4 linked regions of the Diceros bicornis minor genome follow. The protein of the gene in region 4 purifies or fractionates together with the protein of the main gene of each other region. This does not show direct contact. Links are inferred from orthologs where the notes say so. Each region holds a gene or a part of one and is shown on either strand. Other genes may lie near its edges. The genes, in order: RPP25, RPP38, POP7 and POP1.

Region 1 (6,658 bases), on a different chromosome or scaffold from region 4:
TACCTCTTGCCACCAGCAGGATTTATTTCAGGGTTCTGCCAGCAAAGTGACTTACATTTTCCCCCATCTCCTCCTTTCCAGGGGTGCTGTCGAGTTGCATGGGGTGGGGTCTGCTTCTGAGATCCTGGAGCTATGTGCCCCCTCCTTTACTGGCTAGAGTTCTTCCAGCACACAGCACTTCCCCCACTCTCCCCAGTTGACTTGGAGTTGGGCAGAGAGGCTTATGAGGCTGTTATCTCTCAACAGACAGCTGTGCAGAGCTGCAGGCCACAGCTTATCAGGGATCCTGCAGTGATTCACGGCCCAAGTCCCAGCTTCTCTGCTGAATAGTAATTTCCAGCAGTGGATTTGTGCTCAGTCTCTCTCCTCCCCCTCTCCCAAGGGTGTGCTGTCCTTTCTCAGAGAAAGAGCAATGAAGGGGAGATCCTACCCATGGGTACAGAGGGCTTTGTGCCAGCCTTCTGGATAAGGATGTCTATTGGCAAGAGGCTGCAAGTTTAGGGACCCCAGCAGGGTCTGCCACCCTTGGCAGTGACCCCCAGGAGTTTATCAATGCTGGCCTTCCTTCTCCTCCGAGAAAAGCAATTTGCTGCTCCCTTTCCCTTAGTAGTAATGCACAAGGGGACAAAGGCTCCCTTCCGGTGACAAGCACCTGAGGCTAGAGCCAGCCAGGGAGCGCTGGGAGAGAGGGAGAAGACAGGGACCAGGTAATGTGTCCCTTGCAACAATTTGAAGCTGTCCAGTCTCTGTGCCTGACCCTGAATACTCCAAAGGCTAAGGATTCCAGGCTGGAGGGGACTGAGACACAAGGGGGCAGGCCAGAGCAGTGTCTGCACAAGCAAGTGGTTAGGAAAAAACATGGGGACAGAGCCATTTTTCTGTTTGTTTTATTGGAAGCAAGACTCTAGCTGTGGGGCTCAGGGGAGGAGGCATGGAGACTTGTCCTGGGTCTCTCCCTCTGGGCCAGCTTGGGGAAGGGAGGACGTTGAAAGAGCTAGAGCCCATGGAGATGCCTCCTGCCACCATGATCCTAGGATGATCCTTAAAAGCAGGGGAAGGAAAACTAGAAAAGAAACTGTGTCCTGCCGTGATGGGCAGGATAGGACCCCCCACAACTCAGACTCCCCTGCCCTCAAGCAATCAGTTTCTCACCCCTTGCCCTCTGCTGCCAACGGTGGGGGTGATTCAAGAGCTCTCCTCGGCTTCCACACTCGGAGCCCCCCACCTGAATGCTGGGGGTCCCTGAGCAAGGCTCGAGTCCCCCTGCCCACCATTCCTTCCCTGAAGAAGGTCCCAGTATGGCTCAGAAAAGCTGAAGGTGGAGTTCTGCGTCTTCAGGCAATACACAGGTGGAGGAGTAACCACCCCACGAAGCTTCCCTGGGGTCCCTCCCTTGTCGCCTTGGGGTCCACGCTGCCAGTCTGAGGAGCTGTGTTCAGTTGTGGGCTCTAGCGTACTAAGGCGTGAAAGGCTGGAGGTGCGTCTCAAAGTCGAGGCGCTGGGGGTAAGATACAGTCCATCTAGGTGGCCCAGAGCCGGGAGTTCTCAGGCCGTCCGGTCCTCTTCCGCAGCACCTGGCTCAGGTTGTGACCGCTTCGCGGAGCCTTCTCCAGCTGCGGGTTCCCCAAGGCTCCTCTTGGTCGTCGGCACCGACGGCTGGGATGAGGGGCCAGGATGGGGGTTCGGGGGCTGGTAGCCGGGTTGGCGCGGATCCAGTGCATCCTTGGAAAGTAGGATGGCGAGGCTGGGCACGTTCTTAAGTACACTGAGACTGGTAGCCGGGTCGCCAGGCTTCTGATCCGGCGTGGGCCCGGGCGGGAGGCTCTGCCACACCTCGCGCACGCTCCGGTAGCGCAGCCGCGTGACCTGGTGCAGGCCCGCCAGGCGGCGCTTGAGGATCTCGGCGCACGTGACGGTCTTGGTGGTGGCCCGACCGCAGCCGCTGAAGACGATGGCGCGCGTGGCTGGCTGCGCCATGCTGGCGGTGGCGAAGGCCAGCAGGTTCCGGATCTTGCTGCCCTCTTTGACCCGCATGTGCACGGCGCCCGGTGCCAGGTCCGCGAAAGGGCCGGAGCTCAGGCCGCCCCCTTCGGCCCCGTCCCCCACCGGCGCCTCCTCGGAGCGCACCTTACGGAAGTTCTCCATGCGCCGTCGTTGCCGGGACCGCGGGGACGCGGGTTTCGCCATGGGGCCGCCTCAGCCCCGGGGCTGCATGGCCGCCAGTCGAGTCCGGCAAGGGCCGGCAGAGGTAAGGGTGCAGGAGAGGCGTGGACGCTGGCGGGCGGGCTGGGACGGCGCGATTCTTCTCTCCCACTTCTCTCCAGTCGGCGCTGCTCTACTCCGCGCTCTCGGCGTCCGGTGCTCCGCGCCTTTAGCGGTGGCCCCGCCTGGGAGCCTGGGAGCCCCCGCCCCTACTGCCAGGCCCCGCCCCTAACTCGGCCCGGCCCGCCCCGGTCCCAGCCTCACCAGCCTCTCGGATCCAGTCAGGTCCTCAGCTAAAAGGGCGTGGGAGCGGCGCGCACGCTGGGGCGCAATGGCAGCGTCCGAGGGTGGGTTGTCAGGCGAAGTTCCCCTATAATGGCCATCAGTCGTCTCCGAGTCAACCCTCATAAACGGGCAACCTAAATAAAAACTGCGTTTGCGGTGCAAATGCCGCCACAAGTCGGGTCCCCAAGCCCTTCCGCGTTCAAATTGAAGGCTACTCCTTGTCCCCTCCCCAGGAGAGATTTCTAAGCAGCCTGCTGGGGCCTCTTTCCCCTACTCCTCAGGGGAACCCCCCCTACTCCGTCCCTTCCGCTCCCGAGCCGGTATTCTTGCCTCAAGGACAGCCTGTGCACGGTCAGCAGAGTGCGGGAGGCGCTGGCTCTGGTTCCGCTCCGCGCCTTCCCTGGGACGACTATTCGCGGTGTTGTCTTCTCGGGGCAGCCGAAGACCGAGGTTTCAGCCTCCGCGCGCCTGACCGGAGCTGGAGGCTCCCGGACCCACGTACACCCCTGGCGTGTGGGAAGTGAGGCTCTGGGTCAGGCTGTTCCCTGAGGTGAATGGGAAGAGAACAAGGAGACCCCTTCTCAAGGGGAGTTAAGCTCCCTCCACTCGTGCCTGAAAGCACACTATTAGAGCTGCATGCTTTAGGGTAAGCTAAGCATGCTTCCCTGCTAACGTGAATCCCTTCTTCCCAGGTGGAATTCGTTGTCAGTCAGCCTAGGCCTCCTGAGACCCAGTGGGGTCCTTTTTCAGAAAGAAGATTGGTGAAGGCAGGTTTTGAGGAGAATGGAGGAAGGTGGGAAGTTGAAGCTTTGGGGGCGTTATGAAGCTACTGGGTGCCCCTCTCTGGGAACTCCACTCGACAGGGAGAGTGGCCCCGAATCTCCTGCCGGGAGAGATGAACAGTGAAGAGAGAGGTGACGTTGGGATTGAAGGACTGCTGATGAGAGGCAGCGGGTTTGAAAAGGAGCTGGCTCCTCCCTAGAACTGCCCTGGGGCATCGCCCTTCATTCTTCCACCCGCCTCACGCACACGCACAGTCAGAACTGAGAGAGAGGGGCACACCTGATCCGGGTGGGGCTGACTACCACGCGGCGTAGCCGGGAGGCGTGCGGAGAGCTGCCTTGGGCATAACAGTGCCTGGGGGAGCTGGGCCCCAGTCTTGAGACCGGGCTGCTGGGGTCCCCCTCTCCATCTTCAGGCTCTCCTTGCCTCCTCAGCATCTTTTATCTTCTAGTTTTCGGGCCTTGCTGTTCAGAACCCCGGGCTGACCCCATTACTGCCCCTTGGGAGTGGCTGGAGCAGGTGGACCTTTGCGCCCCCTCTCCGATCTCTTGCACGCTGGGGTCAGGGGCCCTCAGGGTCGCGTTCCGCGCCAAACCTGGACTTCGGCTCCGCCCCAGCTCCCGCGGGCCCCACGAAGAACAGCCACAGGAGCTGGAGGCACAGCAGCCTCGAGAAGACACACAGACTGTCTGCAGCGCGTTGCGGGGCGCGCGGAACCTCAGGCTCTGTAAGACCCGGGCAGTTACGGGACGTAAAAGACGGCAGTTTCGGCGAGGCCTGAGAAAAAGTGCTCGAATGGCCGGAATGCACGTTAGAACGGGCTGGTTAGGGAATAAGCGAGCTCTCCGTCCACGGGGAGATGCAAGCCTAGGCTGAACGTTCACTTGGAGAGGATATAGGCAGCGGTCTGCAGTTTGGAGCAAAGGGCTGTGAGCTCCAGGTTAGCGTAGGCTGAGGGTGGGGTTGTTCAGCGTCCACCTGGGTTGGTCCTCAAGGCACCGCTCCCCAACCCCCCTTCAACTGCCGCCAGCGGTGGAAGACTTGGATTCACTTTGCTCCCCAGTCAGTGAAGGGAGAGCGTGGAAAAGGCCCGCACCGCCCCCCCGCCGGTCCCCTCCCCTTCCTCGCTCCCTCTGCAGCACTTAAAATGTAAATGTACATCGTGATTAGCCGCCGGGTCGCTAATTACCGCTGAAGCCATTCATTATATTGTCAGCGCGCGTTCTAGCCGGCTGGCTGTGCGCCCCTGCCGGGCCGCCGAGTGGCAGGGCTGGCGGGGGGAGGGGGGCGGAAAACTGTGAATAAGGGTAATGAGGTTGGCGGAGAGAAAGCGGAGGCAGGAGAGGGGCCAGTAGCCAGGGAAAAATGGGTGGGCGGTGAAGTAGAAACGAGGGGCGGGGCAGGGAGAAGGGAGAAATGCTGGAGGCAGCTAGGAATGGGGGCGACGGAGAGATAGTGAGGATACGGGGGGCTGGGGGCGGTGTGAGACAGGAAACCTGGATGAGCGGGGAGAAGGGAGAATACTCGGGGAGGCGGGGAGGAACCCCGGGGAAGGGGTGGACGCGGTTGGGAGGGGAGTAGAGGGCTCAACTGTGCGAAGGTGGGTAAATACATTTCAGCGTTTGTGGTGAACACCCCCCGACAGTTAGAAACGTGGAAAGGCAGTCAAGATTTTCTGTTAAAAGAGCCGGATGCCAGCTATACACACAGTAGGACCACAGGTATTTTTTTAAAGGGGTGTGTGTCTATTTCCGTGTGTGCGTGTTAGTAGAGGTAAAGGTCTTTTTTCATAGCTGCAAGAAAACAGCACACTGCCTCTGTTACCTCTGAGGCCGCATCCAGTGTTTTTGGGCCTCTTGAAGAAAAGAACTACTAAATATGAATCCAAAATTAAGCACAGAGTCGTGGAGCAGCCTGTGTACGTGAGGTACTGACGTTGAAGCCCGAGCTTCATTAGCTTCTTTTTGCCTCTATGTGACCTTGGGCAATTTACTTAAACCCCCTGCCTTGGTTTTCTCAGCTGTAAGATGGGGCTAACATCAGAACCTACCTCATAAAGTGGTTGTGAGACATTTATAAGTCTTAGAACCTCGGCTGGTAAGTTCTCAGGAAATGTTAGCTAATATTATTTTTCATATATTATTTGTGATTAAAATACATTTTAAAAATTTATTTAAAATATAATATATAATTTATTTATTTATTTATTTTCCCCCAAAGCCCCAGTAGATAGCTGTATGTCACAGCTGCACATCCCTCCAGCCGCTGCATGTGGGACACGGCCTATGAGGCCAGAGAAGCGGTGCGTGGGCGCTTGCCGGGGATCCCAACCTGGGCCACCAGCAGCGGAGCGCGCGCACTTAACCGCCAAGCCACGGAGCCAGCCCTACAATATAATATAAAATAAAGGGAGGTGAGGGGGAAAGAAAGCTGATGAGCCCCGCCCCCGTGGCTTATGCGCGCGCTCCACTACTGGCAGCCTGGGTTCGGATCCCAGGCGCACCCCGACGCACCGCTTCTCCGGCCATGCTGAGGCCGCGTCCCACATACAGCAACTAGAAGGATGTGCAGCTATGACATACAACTATCTACTGGGGCTTTGGGGGAAAACAAAAGAGGAGGATTGGCAATAGATGTTAGCTCAGAGGGGGTCTTCCTCAGCAAAAAAGAGGAGGATTGGCATGGATGTTAGCTCAGGGCTGATCTTCCTCACACACACACAAAAAAAGCTGATGAAAAGGAAAGGAAATAGGCAAAGCCTTGGAAATAGCAGTTTTCCTAATATGTTAGGGACTAGCGAGGGGCAAATTAGACTCTCTTCACTGTCAGAGGAGGTGGTGGAGTGGCTAGGCTGGAGCCCCAGCCTCACCTGGTGCAGCATCAGCTCCTGCTCTGCAAATGGACCCTTCCAGAAGTACATCCCGCCTCTCGCGTCTCGTGGACAGGTCTCTCACCCCAAGACTGGGAGAAAAATCCTAGCACAGGGCAGATCTCCTCCTCCTCCAGCTCCTGGGGCTTTAGGGAGCTCCTAAAGACCCAGGTCCTGTCCCAGCCTCTCTGGGAGGGGCTTGGGAGCATGCAAAAGAGTCAGGCCGGAAAGTCAGAGGGGGCCAGAGGGAGCTCAGATTTATCGGGCACCAACCAGTGCCCAGCAGAGGGCCAGGTACTCTCACAGATCTATTCTCTGATTTAATCTTCACAATTTTCCTTTCCATCATTGTTTGACAGATATGGAAACTGGGGCACAGAGCGGTTAAGTAACCTGCCCAGTGTACCACAGCTAGAAAGCAGCAACCACAGATATTTGAATGCAGGTGCTCTGACTCATTTTACTACCTCACCTGAGTATAAGAGAAAAAGAAACTTTTAAATGATTTGAGCTGCCCAG
Region 2 (8,512 bases), on a different chromosome or scaffold from region 4:
CTGTGCTCTAGCCCAAGGCTTCTTGTCCGGTGAGGGATGGGCCATGGATGAGACCAAAGACAAGTCCTTTTTCGTGTGGAGTGTCAAATGTACATAGCAGGAAGTTCACTCTTTTAACCACTTTTAACTCTACAAATCAGTGGCATTAAGTACATTCACAATGCCATGTAACCACCACCACGATTTCCGAAATTGTTTTGTTTTCCCAAACAAAGGCTATACCCATTAAACAATGACTTCCCATCCCCTCCTCCCCCAGCTCTGCTAACCTCTACTCTACTTTCCGTCTCTATGAATTGGCCTGTTCAAGTCACCTCATGGAAATGTGACTATCATACAGTATTTGTCCTTTTGTGACTGGCTCATTTCACTGAGCATAATCTTTTTCAAGGTCCATCCATGTTGTAGCATGTAGCAGTACTTCATTCCTTTTTATGGCTTAATGATATTCCATTGCATGTATATATCACACTTTATCCATTCATCCATTGATGGACATTTGAATTGTTTCCACCTTTTGGCTATTATGGACAATGCTGCTATCAACACTGGCATACAAGCATTAGTTGCGTCCCTGTTTTCAACTCTTTTGAGGAAACACCTAGGAATGGAATTGCTGGGCCATATTGTAATTCTATGTTTAATTTTTTTTTGAGGAATTGGCAAAGTGTTTCCCACAGCAGTTGTACCAATTTACCTTCCCACCAGTAATGTAGGAGGGTTCCAATTTCTCAATATGCCCACCAACACTTATTCTTTCTGTTTTTTAATAATAGCCATCCTTGTGGGTGTGAAGTGGTATTGCAAATCGGATCTATGATTTGCAAACATTTTCTCCCCTTCTGTGGGTTTTGTTTTTACTCTCTTATAGCGTCCTTTGATGCACCAAAGGCTTAATTTTGATGAAGATCCATTTATCAATTCTTTGTTTTGTTGCTTATGCTTTTGGCATCATATCCGAGAAATCATCGCCACATTCAGTGTCATGAAGATTTTCCCCTAAGTTTTCTTTTGAGAGTTTTATAGTTTTAGCTCTTAAGTTTAGAACTTTGATCCATTTTGAGTTCCTTTTTGTATAAGTGTCCAACTTCATTCTTTTGCATGTGGATATCCAGTTTTCCCAGCACCATTTGTTGAAAAGGCAGTCCTTTCCCCATTCAATGGTCTTGGCCCTCTTTTCTTTTCTTTCTTTCTTTCTTTTTTTTTTGCAGCAGAAGATTCACCCTGAACTAACATCTGTTGCGAATATTCCTCTATTTTGGGGGTGAGCCGCCACCACAGCATGGCTGCTGCCAGAGGAGTGGTGTAGGTTGGTGCCCAGGAACTGATCCCAGCCCCACCCAGTGGAGCACGCTGAACTTAACCACTAAGCCACTGGGGCTGGCCCTTGGCCCCTTTTTCAAAAATTAATTGACCATATATGTGAGGCCTCTCTATTCTATTTCATTGGTCTATATGTCTGTCTTTATGTCAGCTCTGTAACATTTCACTTACTGTAGGTTTATAGTATGTTTTTAAAATCAGGAAGTGTGAGTCTTCCAAATTTGTCTTTCCTTTTCAAGATTATTTTAGCTATTTGGGGTCCCTTGAGATCCCATAATAATTTTCATGCTGGTTTTTCTATTCCAGCAAAAGATACCCATTACAATTTTGACAGGAATTGCATTCGATCTTTAGATTGCTTTGGGTAGTATTGGCAAGATGTCCAGATGAGCTCTTAACTCTGGCTGCACATCCAATCATCTGGAAGGAAAAACACAAACACAAACCAGATGCCTGATTCCTGCCACCAGAGATTCTGATTTCAAGGTTGTGGGGTAGGGAGCAAACAGCGGGAATGATGCAGCCAGGGTCGAGATCTAGTCTGAAATGATAACTTGGCTCTCTTTCTCAGAAGGGCCTCTGAATAATATGTGTGGTGGTCCATGATTTCACTGCTCTCCTTCCCACAAGTGTGCACACTCTCCTCCAGGAACACCAAACTACTTTAAATTCCCTGTTCTCCAGGTTTATAGATAGCTGCTGCGCTCCACTGTCCAGAATGCCCTTCTCCTACCTTATTAACCAGCCAATTCCTCTTTCAAGACTCAGCTTAGATGGCACCTCCTCCAGAAGTTTTTTAGGACAAGAGGCATCTTTAGTCTGGTCTACAAGCCTGTAGCCTTCTCTCCTCTCCTCTCCTCCCATTCTCCCCTTCCTTCAAAGGGTTCCATCTACACGGGCCTCCTTGCTGTTCTAACAGGCTAAGCACACTCCTGCCCTGAGGGCCCTTACACTCTTCCCTGGGTGTCTGCACGGCTCAGTCCCTCACCTCTTCCAGGTCTTTGCTCACACATCACCTCTCAGTGAGGCCTTTCGTCACGCATCCCAGCACCCCCTTGCTCTCTTCTCTGCTTTACTTTTGTCCATAGCACTTCTCATGATCTGACATACTACATAGTTTACTTTTTTGTTTATTGTCTGTCTCCTCCATTAGAACTTTTTTCATTCACTGCTTTATCCTCAACACTTAGAATTCAGTAAACACTGTTCTCTGTTGAAAAAAGGAAGGAAGCAAGGAAAGAAGGAAGGAAGGAAGGATGGAAAAAAGGGAGGGACGGAGGGAAGAAAGAAAAACAGTTGCTTCATTCTTACATATCTAGCATCTAGCACATAAAAGATACTCAATAAATATTGAACTAACAAAGTATAATGTTATTGATTTTTTTTTACCTAATACATATACACAGACATATGTACACATTTCTATCTTAAAAGTACTTCTCAACCACTGGCTCTCAAATTGCTTCAGAAATTATTCTGTGATTAATTCATATAAATATCTATACTTTAAGTAATTCTAAAATTATAGGGCCTGTTTATATATACCTCTGGTATATTTTGAACAGTTACTTGCAGCCTATTTTATATCACATAGATACTTTATTTTCAAAATCGGTGCTGGCAGTTTAGGACTTAAGGAAAATCCAAAGTGTAGCATCACATCACATTAGGCCTCTTCTCTGAAAAAAAAAAAAAAAAACTCTAAAAAAGCGTCTACTAAAAAAAATCTCAGACTAGCTTTGTTACCATCTGATTTAAGGTCTTTCAAATTTCTCTTTTTTAATAGGACAGCTCCGCCAAGGCCCCCTGACAACCTTTCACATCACCTAGCCACGTAGGAAAGGCTTGACTGCAATCTGACCTGAATCTTGGTGGAATGCCCTGTAATTCCTCCTGGAACAAGGCCTTCCTATCCGGTGGGAGACTCCCACCTCGGTGTTTCTCCTCCATTCCCATAGTTTCAGTTGAGCACACTGGAAGGCTGAGAGGTGGTGGTGGTGATGATGCTGTGTTAGGCTGAGTTTTTTCAGGATAAAATAACTAACAGCTGTCATTACAAAGTAAAACTGATCATTCAGTATAGGATATGAAATATATAAGAGTTAAAGTGACAATTTGAAAACTATGCTTGAAAAACATGGAAAAAAATCTTACATGGAATGAAAATCAGAACACAAAATTGTATCTACATTATTATTTTAACAATGTCAATGTACGCACAAATGTGAAACAAATTAGAAGGGAACACTGAGAGGAAATGTGTTTTGGGGTAATCGAGTCATGGAAAATTTTTTTCTTTTGACTTTTTTGTTGTAATATTTTTGTGACACAAATGGGAGAGAAGTTACCTTTGAAAGGTAGTTTTACATTTTAGCAAAATTCTTGTGAAAATTATATTGCTAGTCATAAAATAGAACACAAGCACTAAAATCATAGAGGCTACAGTTAATTTTTATTAACTTAATTCTTAATTCAGGGTGTCACTGGATTCATCATAGTTATAGTTACCAAGCACTTTCTATGTGCTAGGGACTGTGCTAAGCATCTTACAGATTATCTCTTCTAATCCTCACAACAGGCCCTATTTTTATCACCTCCTAGAGAGGGTTAATTAGCTTGGTTTAGGGTCACATGCCTAGTTACTGATGAAGTTAGGGTTTCAGCGTAGGCAGCCTGGCTCCTGAGCCATGGAATGTAATGGCAGGTAATCTTCATAGAGCAAATGTAAATTGAGATGATGCTATAAATCTAACTATACAAACTGGAACCATAAATCTAAACCCTTAGGGGAACAAAAACTTATACACATTTCCTTCTCATTACTCTAGCATTTCAATTAGACATGTGTGTCTCTATTTGTCTCCCAGCTTAAAGGACTAATTTAGAATTACATGTTTGCAGTTCATCACAATGAACCAATGGGATTCATTTTATGAAATAAAGTCTGTTGTTACACTCAAACTCATTGTAACTTTGTTATTTTTAATCTTTCTGTGATTTAAAAAACCACACTGAACTTTCCCCTGGGTAACCTGCAATCATCTTGGACAAAAAGCAACACGGTTTTTTGTTTTGTTGACTTTATGGCCAGTTAGGATGTAGGTGTTGAAAGCTGAAAATATAGAAACTAGACCAAAAAAGGGGAAACAAAGCAAGCAACGCAGTGATTGAGAAAGGGAGGAAGATGTTTGGAGAAGGAAGAGAGCCTAAGTTAGACTGGAAAAGAAAACGAAAGGTGTAAATTAGGTCAGAAGCAACCTACTGTCCTCTAAGTTCGTGCCCAGGGCAAACAGATTCAGATGGCTGAACTTGAAAATGGTCTTCAGCTGATTTACAGTGGTCCGCGACTTCCCAGGGCCTCCATCCGTAACCATAAGTCTCCAGTGGTTGGAGCAGACATTTGGAGCTTTCCGAACCGCTGTCGCAAAACTGAAAGCAGGCTTTACTCTCCTTCTCTTTCAGGGAGCTAAAGAGTGCCTACATTGTTGCCTGTAAGCACGTTTTTCCCCCCTCAATCCACCCCTTATCTCTCATTTATCTTGATTCTCCTGTTGCTGGGGATTCGGCAGGGATTCGATGGAAATGGGGGCACTGGGCCTGAGGCAAGCCAAATACAGAAAAGCGAGGAGAGACAGAGGGCTAAGAGTGCCACGCGCAGAAAGGCAGAAAGGAGAGGTTGCGAGCTGTGACAAACGGCCTTCAGGACATTAAGGGCGGTAGACTGGCCCCCAGACCACGCAGCGGAGACGCGGGCAGCAGGTTACCGTGGCAACCGTCAGGTCTCGCGAGACAGACATTGCGCCTGCGCACTGCCGCTGTAGAGAACTTGAGGGAGCCTCCAGCCGCGCTGCCGAACTCAGGGTTTCTGGGATCCGGTCTCGCGCCGTCGCTTCCGGGCCGCGCGACGCCGTGGCCTGACTTTCTGCATCGTGAGTGAGCTAACGCCGAAGGATGAAATGTGAAGTTCTCTGAGCATTTGGAAGGCGGGGTGGGGGTGGGTGGGACGGCGGAGCGAGGGCTCTGCGCACGCGCGTCGCGGCGCACGTGGAGCCGGAGCTCCCGCGGTGGTGAGTGGGAGCCGGGCCCCGGGGCCAGGAGGGGCCGCCCAGGTGGGATCGGCCCCAGGATTCGGCGGAGTGAGAACACCCAGGGTCTCCAGGACGTCCCCTGGACCCCCCTGCATCCCGGCCTGCCCGTCCCCGCCCGGACGCGCGTATTTTCCTGCCTCCGGGCGTCGGCGCCCGCTCCGCTCGCTGCCTGCAGTTGAGCGTCTGTTGGGTGCGAGAAATACTAGGATAAAGCCTCATCCTGGCCCTTCGTTACTCCAGAACCTAGAGGTGGAGACGGACGACAGCATAACACACCTGCGTATGCTAAATAGTAAATACGGAGGCACCAGATAGAGGGGCGGCGTCCCTAGGGAGGGGTTAACTCAGGGTCGGGAGTGCAGCCACTGGGAACTGGGGCTGCCCTCCACTCCGCTACCGGATCCGCAAACCAGGAGGCCTCCCTGAGTCCTTCCTCTGCCTTACTCGTAGTCGATCGCTCAAGTCAGGTAGATTTTCTCTTTGAACTATTTCAACTAGTATATCTTTCTGTCCATCCCCTCTGCGGTGGCTCTACCGCAAGCCACGGTCATGTCTTACCAGGACTATTCCCGGAGCCTCTTTGCTGCTTTTAGTCTTGGCACAGGACCCTCCCAGGCCCGAATTCACAAAGACCTTTCTGGAATGTCTTTCTAATTCTGCCGCTCTGCTTTAAACGTTACAGTCGCTTCCCACTATAAGGCGTACAAGGACCTTCACTGTCTCTTCTTTACCTGCCTTTCCTGTTATCTCACCATTCTCTAGCATCTCTGTCCAGGCGACACTGAACTTATTTCATTATCTTTAATGCTGTTCTCTGGGATACTCTTTCTGCTTCGTTCTCCCTTTGGTAGCATTCTTCAGATGTAGGTTAAAAGTCACTGCCTCCAGAGACCCTTCCTGATCCCCTCAACTAAGTCAGGCCTCTGGTATATGTTCCCTTAGGATCCTGTAGTTTCTTGACCTTAATGTGCGCCACGTCTCGTTGTATTATTATTTGCTGATAAGACTTCCTCATAGATTCTAAGCTCAGGGAGGCGACTGTTTTTACTTTAATACTTTATGGCTTGGTGCATTGTGGATAATCCAGAAATACTTGTGGAAGTAAGGCAGTGATGGGGGTGAGGGTGGGAGTGGTATTCTGGGCAGAGGGAATATGTGTATAAAGACGTGGAGGTGAGAAACTGGTGGCCTCCTTAAATAGTATGTGGTTCAGTGGGGGGTGTAACCAGCAGGGTGAGGCAGCTAAGGGGAGAGGCTGGTGGGGCGATGGGGGCCAGGATGTGGAGAGCCATGTATGTCACCTTAAAGAGTTACTGTTACTTCTCCTTGTCAGTCACTCCTTTGTTTTTGAATAATATGACATAAGATTCTTCTTTTCCAAACTCCTTGGCTCTCCTCTCCCCCTCCAGATTCTGAAGACAGGAGGAGTTAAAGCCTATCTTGCTCTCTCTCCAGAGCACGTAACTGTAAGTATTTATGTAAGGATTCTGTGTTGTTTCAATGCTCAGACACATTAACTGACTTGGATTTTGGCAAGAGCTCTGTTAGATCATATTCGTCTTGCTCGTCTTCCTGATCACCGTAAACCCGATGCCAGCCTCTGCCAGTCACCACTGGATTTGGATGAGCTCCCTCCTGATTCCCTGAGCTTGAGGGGAGCATGGAGATGACGGGGGATGGGAGGGCTGCGCGGTGGGGCTGATGTGACGGAAGCGGGTTAGGCAGCAGACACCGAGTTTCTAGAAGGGGCAGTGCTGACACGAACAAGGTCTGACCTCTCACCCCAAGGAACTGAATTTTGATTTTCTGTTAGAAGGTGACTGAGGAGGAACACTGGAGGCCTCTACTGGTCTGTCCAGTGTGGAAAGGCCGTCCATCCTACATCAGCAGTTCCTAATTCTGGTTCTGTATCAGACTCACCTGGGCAGCTTTTTAAAGTACAGATGCCCTGGTCCTATTCCCCAGGATCCCAATTTAGTAGATCTGGGGTAAGGACCAACCATCTGTATGTTTTAAAACGCCACAGGTTATCTTTGAGGTGCAGCCACGATGGAAAGCACGTAAAATTTGGATTTGGAAAACTAGCTGTGACTTTGGGCAAGATATTTAACCTGAGACTGTTTTGTCCTCCACACATGGGACAGTTATACAGGAATTCTGTGAGAATCAAACAATACATGGAGAAGGTGCCTTCTAAATTCCGACATACTTCACAGAGACACTTGTTCCTGAACATCAGTAGCCAGCCTAATAAGCAGAAGTTTAATTGGAGAGGACTTAAATCTTAATCCTGCCTGGGGCACTTCAGGGTGGGCAGGCCTTGGCAGGACAAATGACCTGGAATGAGGGAGGATCTGGAATGAGAAAGTCTGGCTACCTGAAAATAGGGACAGTTCCAAGCCGCAGACTGCTCCAGGGCTGGCTTGTTTCACTTCCTTTAGTTTTGCCGCATGGGTCCCTGTGGTTCTTAGCCAAGCCCCAGGCAGAAGGTGAGGAAGAAAATCAAGGGAAGAGAGATGCACTTGTCTCTGGGAGGGAGAAACACGATATGCTTCCTAGACCAGTGGTTCATAACATTTTCGCAGCAAGGATCCTTCTTGTTATTTTTTCTTAAGGGATTAATATCTTTAAATTTCATTACCAAATTTCCCTAGTTTTCATCAAATTGCCAGCTGGAGGAGCAGGCAGCTTGGAATAACCATAGGAAGGGGGAATGTACTGCTGCATGTGTATTAAATGTTTTAGGAAGGATGTACAAGAAGCTTAGGGTCTAGGGAGGGAGAGAGACTTACAGAAGGGCATAGAATGAAAGTATCATTTGAATGTGTAATCATGTGCATACATTACATTTCCAGTTCTTAAAGAATCACACCTGGTGATTATGACTGGCAGCGGCCTCTGGGCCCCACAGACTGTGAGCTCTGTGCAGGTGGACACAGGGGCTTAAGCGGGGGGAACTGGCTCACTGCTGAACCCAGTGCCTGGACCCCAGCCTGCACATTGGAGGTCCTCAGTATCTGTTGAATGGATGAATGGAAGCCTAACGAGAGAACAGTTTAGAAAATGGTACCAAATCTGTAAGGTTAATACCATCCAGTCAT
Region 3 (7,934 bases), on a different chromosome or scaffold from region 4:
AGAAATAAGGTCAGAGTTACTGAGGCTGACAGAAGCAGCAGCGGTGGCAGTGACCTGTCCCTTTAAAGAACAGTGCAAAAGACTCTCAGGAGGCGACTCATCCTTTGTGGTTCCAAGCAGAGGATGGGCGGGCAGGGTCCCAGGGAGCTGCACGAGGGCTGCCCTCACTGGCTGTGGGGGAGGCTGGACCGGAGCACCTCCACAATTCACATCAACTCCAAGACTGCACAACTCTGGGAAGGAAGGAAGAAGGGTTTCCACCAGAGGGGCCAAGGGAAAGAGGCTCTCACCCACAACAGCAGACAGGAAGACGAAGCAAACTCCATGACAGACAAAGGACCCACTCCCCAAATCCCAGCATCCTAGGGTGAAATGCAGCTTCTGAAACCATCTAGAGCGGGGCTGACCTCCCCTGGCATGGGCATCTCTTCTACAACAGCCCCAGCTGGACATTTCTGGTGATGGAGCAGGCACACACGGCCGGCAGAGAAGAGAAGTCTGCTGAAAAGCTCTTCCTTTCACTGGATTCAAGTAGGCCTCCCAGGACAGCAGAATAAGGTTAATCCTTTCTACATTACCACCTTTATGTAATTTGGCCAAAACATGAACCTTGAAGCTGTTACACTAAGTGAAACAAACCAGTGACAAAAAAACCAATATTGTACGATTCCTCCTATATGAGATTCCTAGGAGTCAAATTCAGAGAGATAGAGAGTAGAATAGTGGGTGCCAGGGCTCGGGGGCAAGCAGAGTGAAGAGCTGATGTTTAATGGGAACAGTTTCAGCTGAAATGGGGAAGATGAAAAAGTTCTAGAGACAGATGGTAGTGATGGTTATACAACAACGTCAAAGTATTTAATGCTATAGAACTGTACACTTAAAAATGGTTAAAATGGGGTATATTTTACCACCACTAAAAAAAAAGTTTAGGGAAAAAAAGACATTTGGGGATAGCAACTGCAGACCTAAGTCTTCCCTACTCCAAGAAAAACACCTCACATTCCTTCAAACAAACCTGTGCAGAGGCTGTTCTAAGCCTCCTCCAGTTCACTTCAAGAGAGGGACTTCTAGAGGGACAGACGAGTCCTGTGGGCAGGGAAGGCTGCTGTGGGGACAGGGGAACAGAAAAGGGGACCACTCACCCCCCGCCCTTCCAGGGAGCGGTAAAGGCGGCTCAACGCGGTGCTCTCCACTTCTGGCCTTCCCCCTTCTGTCCTGGTTGTAAAGAGCAAACTGAGGAGAAGCGGCTCCCAAGGCAAGAAGCAGGGACACTGCAGAGGCAAGGGAGAGGCAGTCAGTGCAGAAAGGAAGCAGAGCAGCAGCTGGAGAGAAAGGCCCCGTCTCTGTGCAGGCCCAGCCACAGGAGGGCCTGGTCCTAGAAGCTGCTGGCTGCCTGGCCCTTCCTCAGGCTAAAGGAAGTACACATGCTGCCCCACAGTTTCCACCCCTCCAAACAGGTGTCTTTTCCACATGCTTCCTCAAAGCCTCCACCGGGACGACTCTGCTCCCCAGGAGACATCTGGCAATATCTGGAGACGTTTTTGGTTGGCATGATTGGGAAGTGCTCCTGGCATCTAGTGGGTGGAGGCCAGGGATGCTGCTAAACATCCTACGATGCACAGGACAGCACCCCGCCCCCAACAGAGAATTATCTGGCCCAAAATATCAATAGTGTCACAGCTGAGAAACACTTCTCTAGGCCCCAGCACAGGTAATGCTTAGTCTCTGTTTATGGGGAAGAATGGAAGACAAGAAAAACCAAATTTACTCTAGTTCATTCTCCCTTCTGAAGAACAAGGGAATCATCCCTAATTACACTGTCCCATGAGAGAAATCTGAAATCCTGCCAGGAGGGAAATCCTCGAGAAAAGAATAAATTAAAAAAAAAGTGACTTAAGTTTCTCTATCACAAACTCTCAAAGCCAAGTGTTTGGATCCCTTTCCAGTGAAGGAAAGAGCAGGAGGGGTGGCAGGTAGAGGACTGGGGACAGCATCCTTTCCAGGCTACTTGATCCAAGGGTCTCCTCACAGGCTCATTCCAGCTTCGCCCCCAACCCTCAGCCCGCCCTACGCATCTGTCTGCCTAGTCCATCTGCTCCCTCCCAGGCCGCGTTTTTTCTCTCTGGCCTCAGTATACCCTCACTCCCCTTGCATCTGTATTGCTATTAAAAGGCTGCCCCCTGCCGGAGCCAAGGGGAGAGGACACACACTGGTCCTGGTGCTCACAAGAGGCTTCAGGGAACAGGAGCAGGGCCTGTTTTCTGGGGTTCAGAACTCATGGAAGAAGGAAAAGATCCACAGACGAAGCGGTCCCGGTACACACTAAGTAAAGAACATTATTTCCTCATTCCATCACCCCTAAAATTAGCCCCGATCCAAAGCAGTGTGCCTTGGCACGGAAAGGTATCACTATTAACAGAAGTAGAGGCCTAAATCCCCCAACGTCTGAGCAATGCCCAGCCCAAAGCCTGTTGGAGGTGACTCCACCCTTTCTCAAGATGGAAAGATTCTCCATGCGCGGTAGGATGAGAACTCTGAGGCTTAAAAGGGGTGCAAGCCTGCATGCCTCCCGGCAGGTCAGTTATCCCAGCTCTCCACTCTCTGAGACATCATGACAAATAACGCCCCTTGGCATCTGTCTGCTAGTTAACAGTTTTCAAAGCGCTTCCACACTTTACCTCATTTGATCCCTCTGCCCACTTGCCCAGTCTTGGGCTCCAGCCAGGTAAAACAAGGAAGGGAGGCTGCAGCTGCCGGGACGGGGGACCCCGATGGCCCCAAACACTCTATCCGAGGCTGGAGAAAGGGCTGCATAAGCAGTAGGAACCACCCTAAACTCGCAAGCATACTTTGTGAGTTTTAAACCACTTTAAACTTCTCGTTAGAATTTTTTAAATCCTTCCTATAGCCACCCCTTCTGCTCTCCTCTGCTCTAAAATGGGGCTCTTTTTTCCATCCTAAACTCCAACCACAGAAGTAAAATCGAAGGCAAACTGAGATCCTTTAATTCATCAAATCGCACACAAGACTCACGCTTCCACCGGCTGAAAAAGGCAGGCCAGAGGTCTAAGAACTCACTTGACGGTAATCACCAAAGAGACTCTTGAGGACCCTGGTCCCCAGGCCACAGCAGCAACACAAAGTTCAGATCCATCCCAAACCCTTCCCAATGCCATGAGAGACCCACAGTCTAGGAAAGAAAACTGGAGCCAGGGTGAGGGTGGGGGGCCTGGGGCTGCACAGGGATCAGCACAGACAAAAAAGCCAGACAGCCAACTCCCGCACTGCGAGCGGGGAGTCAGGGGACCCGCCTGGTGGTACCCATGGTGTTTCAGCTGCAGAGATAAGGGGCGGGAGGCTAAGAAGCAACCGGGGTGTCAGCTCGGAGGGGCGGCGGAGAGGCTGTGCGGAGGCTGCTGGTCTTTTGGGAAAGCAGCCTTAAGAAGCAAGAGGGGAGTCAGATCGGCGAGGGCGGAGGAAAGAAGCGGCCAACAAGTATTGATTTAGCATCTCTCAGGGCCGGGCGCGCTGCTGGACCAGACCTGACAGCTTACTGGGAATTCTAGCCATGACCGGGTAAGAGGTGCGAGACGAGGGTCTCTTTAAAGTTAACTTGAAAAAATATTCAAGGCAAAGTGTGCGGGGCCAGGGGGCTGCTGCATCAGGGGAGAAGGGCTGGGAAGGGCCCAGCCTGGCGACGGGGAACGCCGAGGTGAGGGAGGAGACCCCAATGACCAAGCACTAACGCCGCTCGCTGGAGGGAAACTGAGGTGAGGACCCGGCCGGAGAGCTCGAGGGCAGAGGAGAGGCTCCCCCGGCAGCCGAAGCCACCGAACGCCCGGACCGCAGCGCCGCAGGACCGGCCGTCGCCGACAAGCCCCCGGCGGCACGCTGGGGAGTCTCCGGGGCGCGCCGGGCCCTGGGGTCGGGCCTGGCGGGGGCCGGGCGGGGGCCCGAGGGGCGGCCGTTAGGGGCGCGGGGGAGGGCGGCGGGCGGCCTGAGGACGGCGTGCCCTTCAGGAAGGGGGCGGCGGGGGCGCGGGGCGACTGCGGCCGCCCCCCAGGGACCGGCCTCCCGCGGGGCCCGCCGGCAGGCTCGGGCGGGCGGGGCCGGGGCGGGGGCGGCCTGCGGAGGGGCCGGGGGAGGGTCCGCGCCGGCGGCCCGCGCGCCGCCCGCCCGCTCTGGCTCTCGCAGGCTCGGCGCGGCCGCCGCGGCGTCGGGGGCGGGCCGGGCGGGGGCGCGGGGCCCGAGCGCTTACCGCGGCGGGGGGCGGCGGCGGCGCGGGCTCCGGGCCGGGCGGAGGGCGGCGGCGGCGGCGGCGGCGGCGGCGGCGGCGGGGGAGGGGGCGCTGGCGCTCCCGCGGCGGCCGCTCCTCTCTGTTTGTGTTTGTAGCAAGATGGCTGCCCGCCTCGCACCACGTGACGCGGACGCGGGGCCGCGGGGCCGCCCCCGCCGCCGCCGCCGCCGCCGCCGCCGCCGCCGCCGCCTGCCTCCGCGGCTCCGGCCGCTCCGACCCGCCGGCCTCGCGCGCTCCCTGCCTGCCCAACGGGCGCGGCCCGGACGCCCGCCGCCCCCGGACCCCCCGGCACGTGACCCGGGAGCCCGGCTCGTCACGTGACGTGGGGCCGGCTGCGGCCCCGGGGGGAGGGTGGGGTCCCCCGGGTGCACCCTGCGCTGCCCTTCGGCACGTGACGCGCGACCATCGCGACGGAGGCCGCCGACAGTGACCTCGCCCGTCTCTCCCGGCCAGTCGACTTCCTCCAGGGAGCCCGCTTGGATTGAAGGAGACACCGGACACTCCAAGTGGTGTGTCCATCCGACGGCCTGGGATACATGAAATAAGTGAGGAACCGAATGATTTAGAAATAGTCTGAGGTGGTACTGGCTGGTAAGAGCTGGAGTTCGTCTGGCTCCGCCACTGACTAGCTCCTGGACTTCGGGGGCCAAGGAATTGATGCTTTTGAGCCTCAGTTTCTCTTTTATAGTGAGATGTTAATGCTGCTTTCCGTCGCATCCCCGGCCCCCATTCCACTCCGATCCCGGGGTGCTGAAAGCATTTAGAATAGGTGAATGTGAAAGGCTTTGAAAAGAGAGAAACTACTATGCAAATATGCGACGTAGATTGACACCTCCTTTGTTTAGAAAAGAGGTTTTTGAGAATGACTTTTCCGGAACTTTTTAGGATGAAAAAGCTTTGTGTGTGTTTTCATCATTTTCCTTGGAAGTCATTCCAAAATGTATATTCTACGTCCCAGCTTCCTAAAGCAGCGGTTACCAAATACACAGCAATCCTCCTCCAGACAGAGGAAGGTAAGTTCTGACCTGGAACTTGAGTCCCCACGGGGGACAGTTGTGCCTTAATGGAGCGCAGACCGCGGGAGCTCCCACGAAGGTCCTTTGTCCTGCGCCAGGTACCCCGCAGGCTTCTGTGCCCTTGGAGTTTTAGCGTCTGCGTTTTTCAGTTCCCTCCAGTTTCCTGCAGCCAGGATTCCTGCTCCAGTGTTGTCAGTCAAGCTGCTTGCTCACAGGCTAGAAAGGCAATTGTTTAAAGCAAGGGCTCCAGTGCTGGTTCCATCCATTACTCACTGTGGCCTTGGGCACATTCATTAATCTCTCTCTCCTCTGGATTGTGTGATAAAGCACTTAACACGTGCTTGGCATAGGGCAGGCACTCCACGAATGTTAGCTAATAGGGGCTCCTGGTTCCACAGGATCCACAACCTTCAGGCTGTTAACACTGTTTGAAAATGTATCAACACAGACTTCTCCCAGGATAAAGTTCTTAACTTTATGACAGCTGTTTTTTCTTACTCAAAAGCTTTTGTTGTTGCTTTTTGTTTGTTTTTTAACTTTTCTAGATTGTGTTGGGGGTGGCTGAAGTTGCCGGCAGCCTAACCTCTAAACGAGGTTTTAGCATGTTTTAATTGTTAATCAGCAAATATGAGATTGTAGATTATGGTAGACAAATGGTACAGAGGAAAAAGAAGGGGACCTCTGTAGAGTGGAAGCAACTGGGGACAGTTGTGGCCTGTGCTGAGCTGGAAAGAAGGGCAGGATTTGGGTAGATTTAGGAAAAGTGGGCATGGGCTTGAGAATAGCCACAATCCACCTGGTGGGAGAAGATGACGAGAGTTGCCAGTTGGATGAGAAGTGAAGTGAACTTCAGTTGAGGGCCTCGAATGCCACCACGAAAATGTTTTTTCTTTTTTTGGTGAGGAAGATCAGCTCTGGGGTAACATCCGTTGCCAGTCTTCCTCTTTTTGCCGAGGAAGATGAACTCTGAGCTAACATCTGCGCCCATCTTCCTCTATTTTGTACATAGGATGCCGCCACAGCATGGCGTGATCAGCGGTACATAGGTCTGCGCCCAGGATCCGAACCTGCAAACCCCGGGGCGCTGAAGTGGAGCATGTGAACTTAACCACTACGCCACCCAGCCGGACCCACGAAAATGTTTTTGATCGGAGAATAGCACCTACTAGATGCAGCAACACAAGAAGAGCACATTGGGACTCCGGGGCCTCGGTTCCCTCTGGACCAGCTTGTGACCCTGGAGAAGTACTCTCCTTCACTGTAAAGTGGGAATGCTGCTGCTGCAGATGACGCTAGAAATTGAATCATAGGAGGGCCCTCTGAGAAAGGAAACTATGAAATCAGACTCTTAATGTCCCATACTGAACTTAAAAATTACAAAGAAATCACTTGGACCTAAACTATTTTTGTTTATTCAGGTGCAACACTGTAAAATGTCTCGATCTGTGTTGTTTTAAATTTGCAAGCTTTTGAACTAAACAAAGAGATTTGGTTAGATGATTAACGGAGATGAAAGGGAGTTCTCCAGGAGGACTAAACAGCTGAGCTCTGCCCTTTTTCTTTCTTGCTTTTTATTTTTTTTGGTGAGGAAGATTAGCCCTGAGCTAACAGCCATTGCCAACCCTCCTCTTTTTGCTGAGGAAGGTTGCCCTGGGCTAACATCTGTGCCCATCTTCCTCTACTTTATATGTGGGATGCCGCCACAGCATGGCTTGATGAGCAGTGCGTAGGTCTGAGCCTGGGATTGGAACCTGCAAACCCCAGGCCGCCGAGGCTGAGCACGCGAACTTAACTGCTATGCTGCCGGGCCGGCCCCCTGCCTTTTTCCTTAATGGCAGATTCCTCTGTGGTGTTCGCCTTGGATGAAATACAAAAAGATAAGGACCATCTAGTGTCAAATTGGTTTATTACAGAGCCTGGCTTCACCCACCTAAACTGTGAACCTTCATATTTATCTGGATGTCAAAGTTTGGAAAACGTATTTTAGATATCATGAAAAGACACACAGTCTGAATCATGGAGTGATAGTTCATAAACTGTGCTTACTGTTAATTATCAGACAAATGGGCCCTAAAATTAATATATTGCATTCAGAATTACTTTCTGCCATGAGCTAAGTTCTTCGGTCAACCAAACGTAACTGCTTGTCTAGTCACCAATGACCTCCACATTGCTGAGTCCACTGGTCCATTATCTTATGTGGCTTGTCAACAGCATGTGACACAGCCGGTCACTCCGGTCCAGGAAGCGCTTTCTTCACCTGGCTTCCAGGACACTGTATTCCCTTGGTTTTCCTCCCACCTCACTAGCTGCTCCTGCTGAGTCCTTTGCTGGTTCCTCCTCTTCTCCCGTATCTCCCAGGGCTCAGTCCTTCCAGACGTATCGGTTGTAACAGGAGGGACTGCACAGGATATGAGCCCCACTGCTAGACATTCCTGCCTCAGCTCAATCGTTGCTTCCTTTGGAAAACCTTAGATGCTCCAAGGTCATATTGGCTGTTCTTCTTTGGGGGTCCACCAAATCCTGTACGTGCTCCCTCCTGAGCACTGGTCACACTCTCTTGCACATCTCATTTGCCTTCCATGCTAAACTATGAGCTGCTTAGCACAGTATTCTATGAT
Region 4 (8,328 bases):
CCATCCCCATGCTAGGGACTGAAAGTTCAACGCATCTGAATTCTTCCTGGAGAAGACCCAGAATTTTCAAAAAGTGTACTCACTACAAATTCCATGCACAAAAACTCGTTTCCAAATGGTTCTTAAAACATGTCCAATTAACTTTATCAGGATATAACCACCTAGCTGGAGTGCGTTTTTTTCTTCAACATAAAATACTGAAAATTAGCATCACTGCTAGTGGCCATTTTTGGATGCAAAAAAGCAGAAGAGGCACAATGTCCTGGAAGGTCACCACACAATGAAGCTGGTTGATGGCTTTTCTCAAGTCATACTAGTATATTCATATAACGATTCCTTCCTTTTTTGCTTGCAGCTTTATAAAGATAGTTGACTCTCACCTCCGAGTCAGCCAGGGGTATCACTGTCATGCTTTCTTTCTTGAACAACGTACACACTTGAGGAAGGTGTATGCTCCAGGCTCTATAATCACTTTGTTTTTGTTTTTGTTAAGGGTTGCTTTTGTTCTAAAGTAAAACCAGTGGATGATTGAGGGAGAGGGATCAGGGCAGAAATTGGAAAGATTATTGATTTTTACTTTTACTGTAATACCCCCTTAACTATTCTTATTGTCTACTTCAAATTATCTGAATTCTCTTCTTAAAAGAGATGTGGCCCCCCTCCCCCCCGTGGCCTAGTGGTTAAGTTTGGCGCACTCCGCTTTGGTGGCCCAGGGTTTCGCTCCTGGAAGAGGACGTACACCACTCACAGCAGCCTGCTGTGGCAGTGACCCCCATACAAGCAGAGGAAGATTGGCACAGATGATAGCTCAGGGCCAATCTTTCTCAAGTGAAAACAGGAGCATTGGCAACAGATGTTAGCTCAGGGCCAATCTTCCTTAGAAAAAAAAAAAAAGAGATCTGATCATGTCAATTCCTCTTCAAAAACATTTGATGGCTCCTCGCTGCATACCAAATAAAGTTTATACTCTTCAGCCTAGCACTGGAAACCACCATAATCCAGACTTTGCTAAAAGCTAATTTTTAGCAAGAGGCAAAACAAAAGTTCAAAGTCCAGCTCCTAACCAGTGTTTCACAAAGTACAGGTAATACACAAACATTGAATCACAGTAAGGGAATGATTCCCTTTTCAATGCTTTTTCAATTCTTCTGTGCAAGGGACAGAATGATTAAAGATCGAGCTCTGGAGCTCACAGCCTAAGGTGAATTTAGGTGTGACGGCCTAAATTCTGTCACACCACTTCCCAGTGGTGTGACTTTGAGCAAAACCTTGCATACATCAGATTCTTCATCCGAAAAATAGGGACTGTAATAGTAATTGGGCACATAAAGCACCTAGAACAGTGCCCAGTGCTGAGTAAGCATCAATAAATGTTCGCAATTATGACTTCAATCCTCTGATTACATGAAGGAGAAAAAAAAATTATTAGAAAACAAGTTAAAGAAACCTATCATTTTTTTTTTTTTTGCGAGGAGATCAGCCCTGTGCTAACGTCTGCCAATCCTCCTCTTTTTTTGCTGAGGAAGACTGGCCCTGGGCTAACATCCATGCCCATCTTCCTCCACTTTATATGGGACGCCGCCACAGCATGGCTTGCCAAGCAGCGCGTTGGTGCGTGCCCGGGATCAGAACCGGCGAACCCCAGGCTGCCGCAGCGGAGGGCGTCCACTTAACTGCTTGCACTGCTGGGCTGGCCCCAAGAAACCTATCACTTTTAACAAAAAGAGAGCAGGCTTTGGGTTCTGAGCCAACTGCAGTAAGCAGCTAGAATTTAATAACTTTTTTTATTTAATTGAGTTTATTTTTTACTGTTACCTTCTATTAGGTTGTTTTCTATTTAGAGTACTGCTGTAAAGTTTCCTTTTTAAATCTGTTAAATAAAGTGAGCCATCTCAAAGAAAAGTGTTAAGTAAATTATAATATAGGTGGTACACAGATTTGGCAAAATAAAAAAACGACTAAGAGTGGTACTTGGATTACTAAACCTTCCTCCAAAAAATCTTTATGCCATGTATTCCTCCACCTCTATGCCTCAAGTCACTCCCTCCCTCTGGAATGCCCTTCACCTCATGACTTCCTGTTGAAGTCCTTAACCAAGTAATTTAAAAATCAAACTTCACAACAGTACTGTAAATGGCAAACCCAACCTTCAAACCCAAATCAAGGACTACCTCTCACAAGGAGCCTTCTTATTTATTTATTTTTTTTTGTGAGTAAGATCAGCCCTGAGCTAACATCCATGCCAATCCTCCTCTTTTTTTTTGCTGAGGAAGACTGGCCCTGAGCTAACATCTATTGCCAATCCTCCTTTTTTTCCCTTTTTCTCCCCAAAGCTCCAGTAGATAGTTGTATGTCATTGTTGCACATCCTTCTAGTTGCTGTATGTGGGACGCCGCCTCAGCATGGCCAGAGGAGTGGCGCGTTGGTGTGCTCCCGGGATCCAAACCCAGGTCGCCAGTAGCGGAGCGTGCGCACTTAACCGCTAAGCCACGGGGCCGGACCCAACAAGGAGCCTTCTTAAATCTTCTTTTTCTCCCTCTGCCCCAAGTTAGCATCAATTTCTTTTCTTCTTTTGCCACTTTCCCTCCCCACTGCTTCCTCGCTCCCACTGCATTTTATTTGTAACCCTACTATAATAAATACAGTTCTGCCACATATAAGTGCTATTTCTCATGGCAGTGTGGTATAGAGGAGGGAGCTAGGGCTTGTTCAAATCAAGCTCTGTCACTTATAGACTGTCTGACCTTGGACAAGGTCATTTTGAGCTTCAGTTTTATTTTTACAAAAGGGGATGGGAGTTAGAGAAGGTGGTTGTCACGGTGCATGCCATACAGCATGCACTAAATTAAAATGTTTTTTTCTTTCCCTCATATGCGTGAATGTCTTTCACACTGGATGGCTTCTTAAACATTTTTGTATGCCCTGCAGTGCTTGGCATGCACCAGGTACTCAGTGCATGTCTGTCATAGCGCAAATGTTTCAGCTGTAGAAGTTTTCCAGCGTAGTTCTTGTAACAGTGAACAGATACCATAAACTATATTTTAAAAAGGAAAAATGGGGGCTGGCCCAGTGGTGCAAGCAGTTAAGTATGCGCGCTCTGTTGCGGTGGCCCGGAGTCGCTGGTTTGGATCCTGGGCGTGCACCGACGCACTGCTTGGCAAGCCATGCTGTGGCGGCGTCCCATATAAAGCGGAGGAAGATGGGCACGGATGTTAGCCCAGGGCCAGTCTTCCTCAGCAAAAAAAAAGAGGATTGGCAGATGTTAGCACAGGGCTGATTTCCTCACCAAAAAATAAATAAATAAATAAATAAATAAATAAATAAATAAATAAATAAAAAGGAAAAATGGAAAAAGGTTTCAGTGTATACTGAAAAATTAAAAATAACAAAAATTAAGAAAAAAGTGTCCAACGATGCATATGAAAAGATCCAATGGTTTTCAAGTGGAGACATTTTAAGAAAACAAAGTTTTAGGAGCCGGCCCCGTGGCTTAGCAGTTAAGTGCCGGCCCTCCGCTACTGGCGGCCCAGGTTCGGATCCTGGGAGGGCACTGACGCACAGCTTGTCTGACCATGCTGAGGCGACATCCCACATACAGCAACTAGAAGGATGTGCAACTATGACATACAACTATCCACTGGGGCTTTGGAGAGAAAAAGGGAAAAAAAAAAGGAGGAGGATTGGCAATAGATGTTAGCTCAGGCCTGGTCTTCCTCAGCAAAAAGAGGAGGATTGGCATGGATGTTAGCTCAGGGCTGATCTTCCTCACAAAAAAAAAAAAAAGAAAACAAAGTTTTAAAAAAGGGAATTAAGCTTTCTATTTAACAGTGCTTCTGACAAGTGGAAATAAATGTACATAGGGCAGACTTTCTGACCAGTATACATATATTTAGCTAGAGCATGTCAGGCCATCTTAGAAAATGATCTTTGCTGTGATTTGTATTTGATTTTATTAGTGGGAATAAGCATGGGCAATGAATTCATAAACATCACAATGCATTTACATGTGTCCTAAAAACCAGTGTCTCCAGTAGATGTGCAGGGATTTGCTAAGTATGTCTGTGAAAAGAACTCGGCTCTCCCCAGGAGGACACCCACATCTGTGGATGGGATTACTCCTTAAAATTAAGAGAGGGTTAGACCAAACATTATGCTAAGTGAAAGAAGTCACTCACAAAGGATCACATATTGTAGGTCCATTTATAGGAAATGTCCAGAACAGGCAAATCCATAGAGACTGAAAGTAGATTAGTGGCTACCAGCAGCTGGGGGGAGAGGAGAACGGGGAGTGACTGGTAATGGATATAGGATTTCTCTTTGGGGTGATGAAAATGTTCTGGGATTATATAGTGGTGATGGCTGTACTACTTTGCGAGTACAATAAAAAAAAATCACTGAATTGTAGACTTTAAAGGGGTGGATTTTATGGATATGTGAATTATATCTCGATAAAGCTGTTACCAAAAAAACAGTCCCAAAACAAAAAACGGACCGCTTCTAACCGAAAGGAGCGTATGGTTGACTGGGCTGCGAAGCCAGGCAGCCCCAGGTCGGGGCGAAGTCCCCCGCTCCCAGTGGGGCTCCTAACTCGCTGTGGGTCTCCGGGTGCACGCTCCCTTTCCCGGATTCAGTTTCCTCGCGCGTCGACGAGGTTGGCCGATGACCCCGAGGCCCACCCCAGCTTTGACCCGGAGTGGTCAGTCCGGGACCCCTGACCCCGCACGCCCGGAGTCCGTCCGCGCTCCCACATGCCCCATTACCTGTAGGGACCAATGGGCCCTGGGGCTTTCACGGTGCTGATCACCCTTCTAATCAAGGACGACATGACTAGTCCTTTTCTCTTAAGGCCCTTCCGAGAAAACAACTCCGTCCACCACCACCACTCGCGCTCGAGACTAACCAGCCCAGCACAGACTCTCCGCAGTAAACGCGTCTCCCCGGCGGCTTCACTCGGCATTCTGGGAGTTGTAGTCCCCGTGAGACTCCAGGCCACGTGGAGGCAGCGGCCGGACTGGCGCATGCGCGTTCCAGCTCGCTCGCTGCGCAAGTCGCTTTGCAGGAGGCTGTCGCAGAGCTTGTCATTCTGAGCCTGGGAGCCCTGGCTTCCTCCCCCAGAGCTCCTGTCAGGTAGGTTATGATGGGCTGGTGTCCCCGAGGGTCCTCGAGTTTGCGGGGAATGTGTGTGGCGGCCCCCAGCCCGGCGCCCGCTCTCTGGCCCGCCTCCTCTCCCCACATTCTCTCCCTCAGACCCACTGACCGCCTCTTCCCTTGCTGCCTACGCCTGGGCCCCTCTGCCTGGCCCCGTACCTCCTTCGGCCCTGCGCTCGAGCCCGCTGCGTCTGTCATTTTCCCGCATTGTGCGGCCGGGCGGAGGCCACCCTGGGAATGGACTTGCACCCTTCTCCTGCCACCCTAAAGGAATAAGACGGGTCATTCAGGGGACCACGCTGAGATCTGGGCATTGTCCACCTTCCCGCCCCTCCCATGTTCCCTTGTCTTGAGTGCTCCTCGAGCTTTACAAGGTCTCTACGCGTTCCCTTTCGATCTCAGCAGAGCCTTGGTGACTGGGGTCTGATTTCAAAAAAGGAAGATACTGATCTTGGTCCAGCACATGGCCCCAGAGCTGGTCTCTTCACAGATATTCAGTCATGCTGTGTCAGAAGAGGTGGTACTTGGCTAAATATTTCTTATTCTGTTAATGTATGCGTAATAGGCACGCCTCACTCCTTCCTTTACGCGTGCACGTGTGCGTTTAACAAATGTATATTGGGCTTCTACTTTGTGCAAGGCACTCTGCTAGGTACTGGAGATGCAACAGTGAAAAAGCGAGGTAAGATCCCTGTTCTCCCCTGCTGCTAAAACATAATATAAGAATATCCTTTTTAGTCCCCCTCATTTTGTCCTAGTACTACTAAGGTTTTGGCTTTCTTACTTCCGGCTCAAGAGTCTTGAGAGCTTTTTCATTGGTTTAGGGCTTTCTGCATGGAATAAAAGACCTTCCAGTCTGACCTCCTTTTGCCAAATACTCAGTTTTAGCCTCTTGTCCTCCCTTCCCACTCTAGTTGTCCAGAGTCCTCACTCCCGAATTCACACAGTAGATTCCTGAATACTCTTTCTTCCCTATCCAAATTCCAACTAACTGAAATCCTATTTTCTTGTTGACTTTTTCTGCAGATTCACACTTTTTCTTTCCTTTATTCAGTTTCCTATTGTGCTATACTGCAAAATTTAGTGTTTTATTATATGTGATCTTATTCTATAATTGTTTTGTGTTTTAAAAATAGTGAGTAGAGCCAAACTGCCTGGTTTGAATCCCAGCACAATCACAAGTGGCCTTGGGCAGGTCATGCTGCCTCTCTCTGCTTCAGTTTCTTCATTTATAAAATGAGGATAGTTCTAGTACCTCCCTCACAGAGTTGTGAGAACTAAATGAGGAAGGCATGTAGAATAGTGCCTGGCACATAAAGTTCTCAATAAATGCTAGCTGCCTAACATGACCAAATTCTTTAAGGAAGGAGGCCACATTCCTATATTAATTTGGTATACACACAGTCCAAAACTATTATGCACATAGTAGGTACCCAAAAGCTTGTTAAATTTGATTAAATGGGAATTAGGAGACGCTTTTTATTTACGAAATAATTCGCCATATGATTCTTTAAATTAGGAGCTCTCTTGGAGCATTACAGATAATTCAGCTTGTGTAAAATATTTCTTGTGAAACAAGTTACCTGTATTTTTTTTTTTTTTGTGAGGAAGATCAGCCCTGAGCTAACATCTATGCTAATCCTCCTCTTTTTTTGCTGAGGAAGACTGGCTCTGAGCTAACATCTATTGCCAATCCTCCTCCTTTTTTTTCCTCAAAGCCCCAGTAGATAGTTGTATGTCATAGTTGCACATCCTGCTAGTTGCTGTGTGTGGGACGCGGCCTCAGCATGGCCGGAGAAGCGGTGCATCGGTGCGCGCCCAGGATCCGAACCTGGGCCGCCAGTAGCGGAGCATGCACACTCAACCACTAAGCCACGGGGCTGGCCCGATACCTGTATTCTTGAGGCAGATTTTATATCGAGTCTGAATCGCCAGCTTTTTAGAGAAGAAATGAGAAATTACCTGGTTAATTCCCAGATTCTCAAACGGGAGTCTACTATGCCAAGTGGTGTATCTGACCAACCAGGAGATACTAAACTATAGGAGAAACAGGACGTATCCAATTTATTTGAATATTTGGAGGGAAAACAGTTTTATAAAGCCTGGCACATATTTAGTGCTCATTAAAGTTTTGACTGAATGAATATGAAAACAAATACAAACTGTGAATATTAGGAATAGATGTAAAATTCACTTGAATGTTAAGGTAGAAGTTAAGATTCCTTCTGGAACCTCTTTTAAGCTAAATCCTCAGACTTCATAAGGATATATTCTATATTCATTCTCTTCTGCTGTCAGAACTGTTGGAGGACCACTGCTAGTTCAGTCTGCTAATTTTTTAGTCTAGAACCTAAGCTCAGAGATGTGACTTCCAAAGGTTACCCTAATCCCTGAGTCCCAGCCTGCTTCTGGCCCGTTCTAGTCTTGAGCAGAGCTAGGGTTCCCAGGTAGTGCTCTCTCTTGCTCAGGAAGTTCTGATTCAAGGAGGTAATAGTAGGTGGACTAAATGGTTTTGTGAAATAATTTTGAATGGTTCTTAATGCAGACTGATCTGAATCATTTCCTTCACGAGCCAACTGGTTCTGCAGAACTCCATTTACTACCTACATATTTTTTAATTTGAAAAATGTTTTTGAGTGTAGATGTAGTTGCTTTTGATTTAGGTGAAAGCAGAGTGGAATGAGAAAGTGAAATGACATAAATCTCTGTTATTTCTTTTATTATTTAAGAGTAATAGCTAACATAAACTGAGCCCTTAGTTTATGCAAAGCCCCATGCTAAGTGTGTTATGTACATTACCTTATTTAATTCTCACTGCAACCTTGTGATTATTCCTATTTATAGAGGAGGAGACTGAGGCTCAAAGAGGGAAAGGAATTTTCCTAAGATTATATAGCTAAAAAGTGTTAAGGAAGGTATTTGAATTTAGGTCTTTCTAACTCCAAACTGAAAGTCCTTAAACACTACACCACATAAGTTACTCTTAATTTTATACGAAGTCTTGCGTTGGAAAGGAGGTAGGTGAATGGGTGGTAGTTAATTCAGTGGCACTTGGTGGGAGTGGTGCAAATCCTGGGATAGCAGTTTGGAAGTTCGTGCAGGTGTTTTTGGTTGGCATAATGATGGGGTGACACCACTGGCATTTATTGGGCAGGGACCAGGGAGGTTAGACATCCTGCA

What was found.
Region 1: the proteins of POP1 (region 4) and RPP25 purify together in Homo sapiens (affinity purification with mass spectrometry; 3 studies listed by BioGRID and IntAct, counting the BioPlex papers as one, with this or other methods). This does not show direct contact. The link is inferred for Diceros bicornis minor from reciprocal best matches to the Homo sapiens genes POP1 and RPP25.
Region 2: the proteins of POP1 (region 4) and RPP38 purify together in Homo sapiens (affinity purification with mass spectrometry; 3 studies listed by BioGRID and IntAct, with this or other methods). This does not show direct contact. The link is inferred for Diceros bicornis minor from reciprocal best matches to the Homo sapiens genes POP1 and RPP38.
Region 3: the proteins of POP1 (region 4) and POP7 purify together in Homo sapiens (affinity purification with mass spectrometry; 3 studies listed by BioGRID and IntAct, with this or other methods). This does not show direct contact. The link is inferred for Diceros bicornis minor from reciprocal best matches to the Homo sapiens genes POP1 and POP7.

The regions. Positions count from the first base shown.
Region 1 is NC_080744.1:67,855,314-67,861,971, forward strand, and holds RPP25 (ribonuclease P protein subunit p25), read right to left. Parts: upstream 2,371-6,658; 5' UTR 2,188-2,370; coding exon 1,546-2,187; 3' UTR 871-1,545; downstream 1-870. UniProt on the Homo sapiens protein: Component of ribonuclease P, a ribonucleoprotein complex that generates mature tRNA molecules by cleaving their 5'-ends. Also a component of the MRP ribonuclease complex, which cleaves pre-rRNA sequences.
Region 2 is NC_080775.1:15,572,413-15,580,924, forward strand, and holds the start of RPP38 (ribonuclease P protein subunit p38), read left to right. Parts: upstream 1-5,149; 5' UTR 5,150-5,252; intron 5,253-5,389; exon of another isoform or gene 5,390-5,691; intron 5,692-6,820; 5' UTR 6,821-6,877; intron 6,878-8,512. UniProt on the Homo sapiens protein: Component of ribonuclease P, a ribonucleoprotein complex that generates mature tRNA molecules by cleaving their 5'-ends. Also a component of the MRP ribonuclease complex, which cleaves pre-rRNA sequences.
Region 3 is NC_080765.1:5,135,022-5,142,955, reverse strand, and holds the start of POP7 (ribonuclease P protein subunit p20), read left to right. Parts: upstream 1-4,663; 5' UTR 4,664-5,310; intron 5,311-7,934. UniProt on the Homo sapiens protein: Component of ribonuclease P, a ribonucleoprotein complex that generates mature tRNA molecules by cleaving their 5'-ends. Also a component of the MRP ribonuclease complex, which cleaves pre-rRNA sequences.
Region 4 is NC_080760.1:16,996,360-17,004,687, forward strand, and holds the start of POP1 (ribonucleases P/MRP protein subunit POP1), read left to right. Parts: upstream 1-5,029; 5' UTR 5,030-5,127; intron 5,128-8,328. Other genes in the region: RIDA (2-iminobutanoate/2-iminopropanoate deaminase), read right to left, coding at 4,761-4,825. UniProt on the Homo sapiens protein: Component of ribonuclease P, a ribonucleoprotein complex that generates mature tRNA molecules by cleaving their 5'-ends. Also a component of the MRP ribonuclease complex, which cleaves pre-rRNA sequences.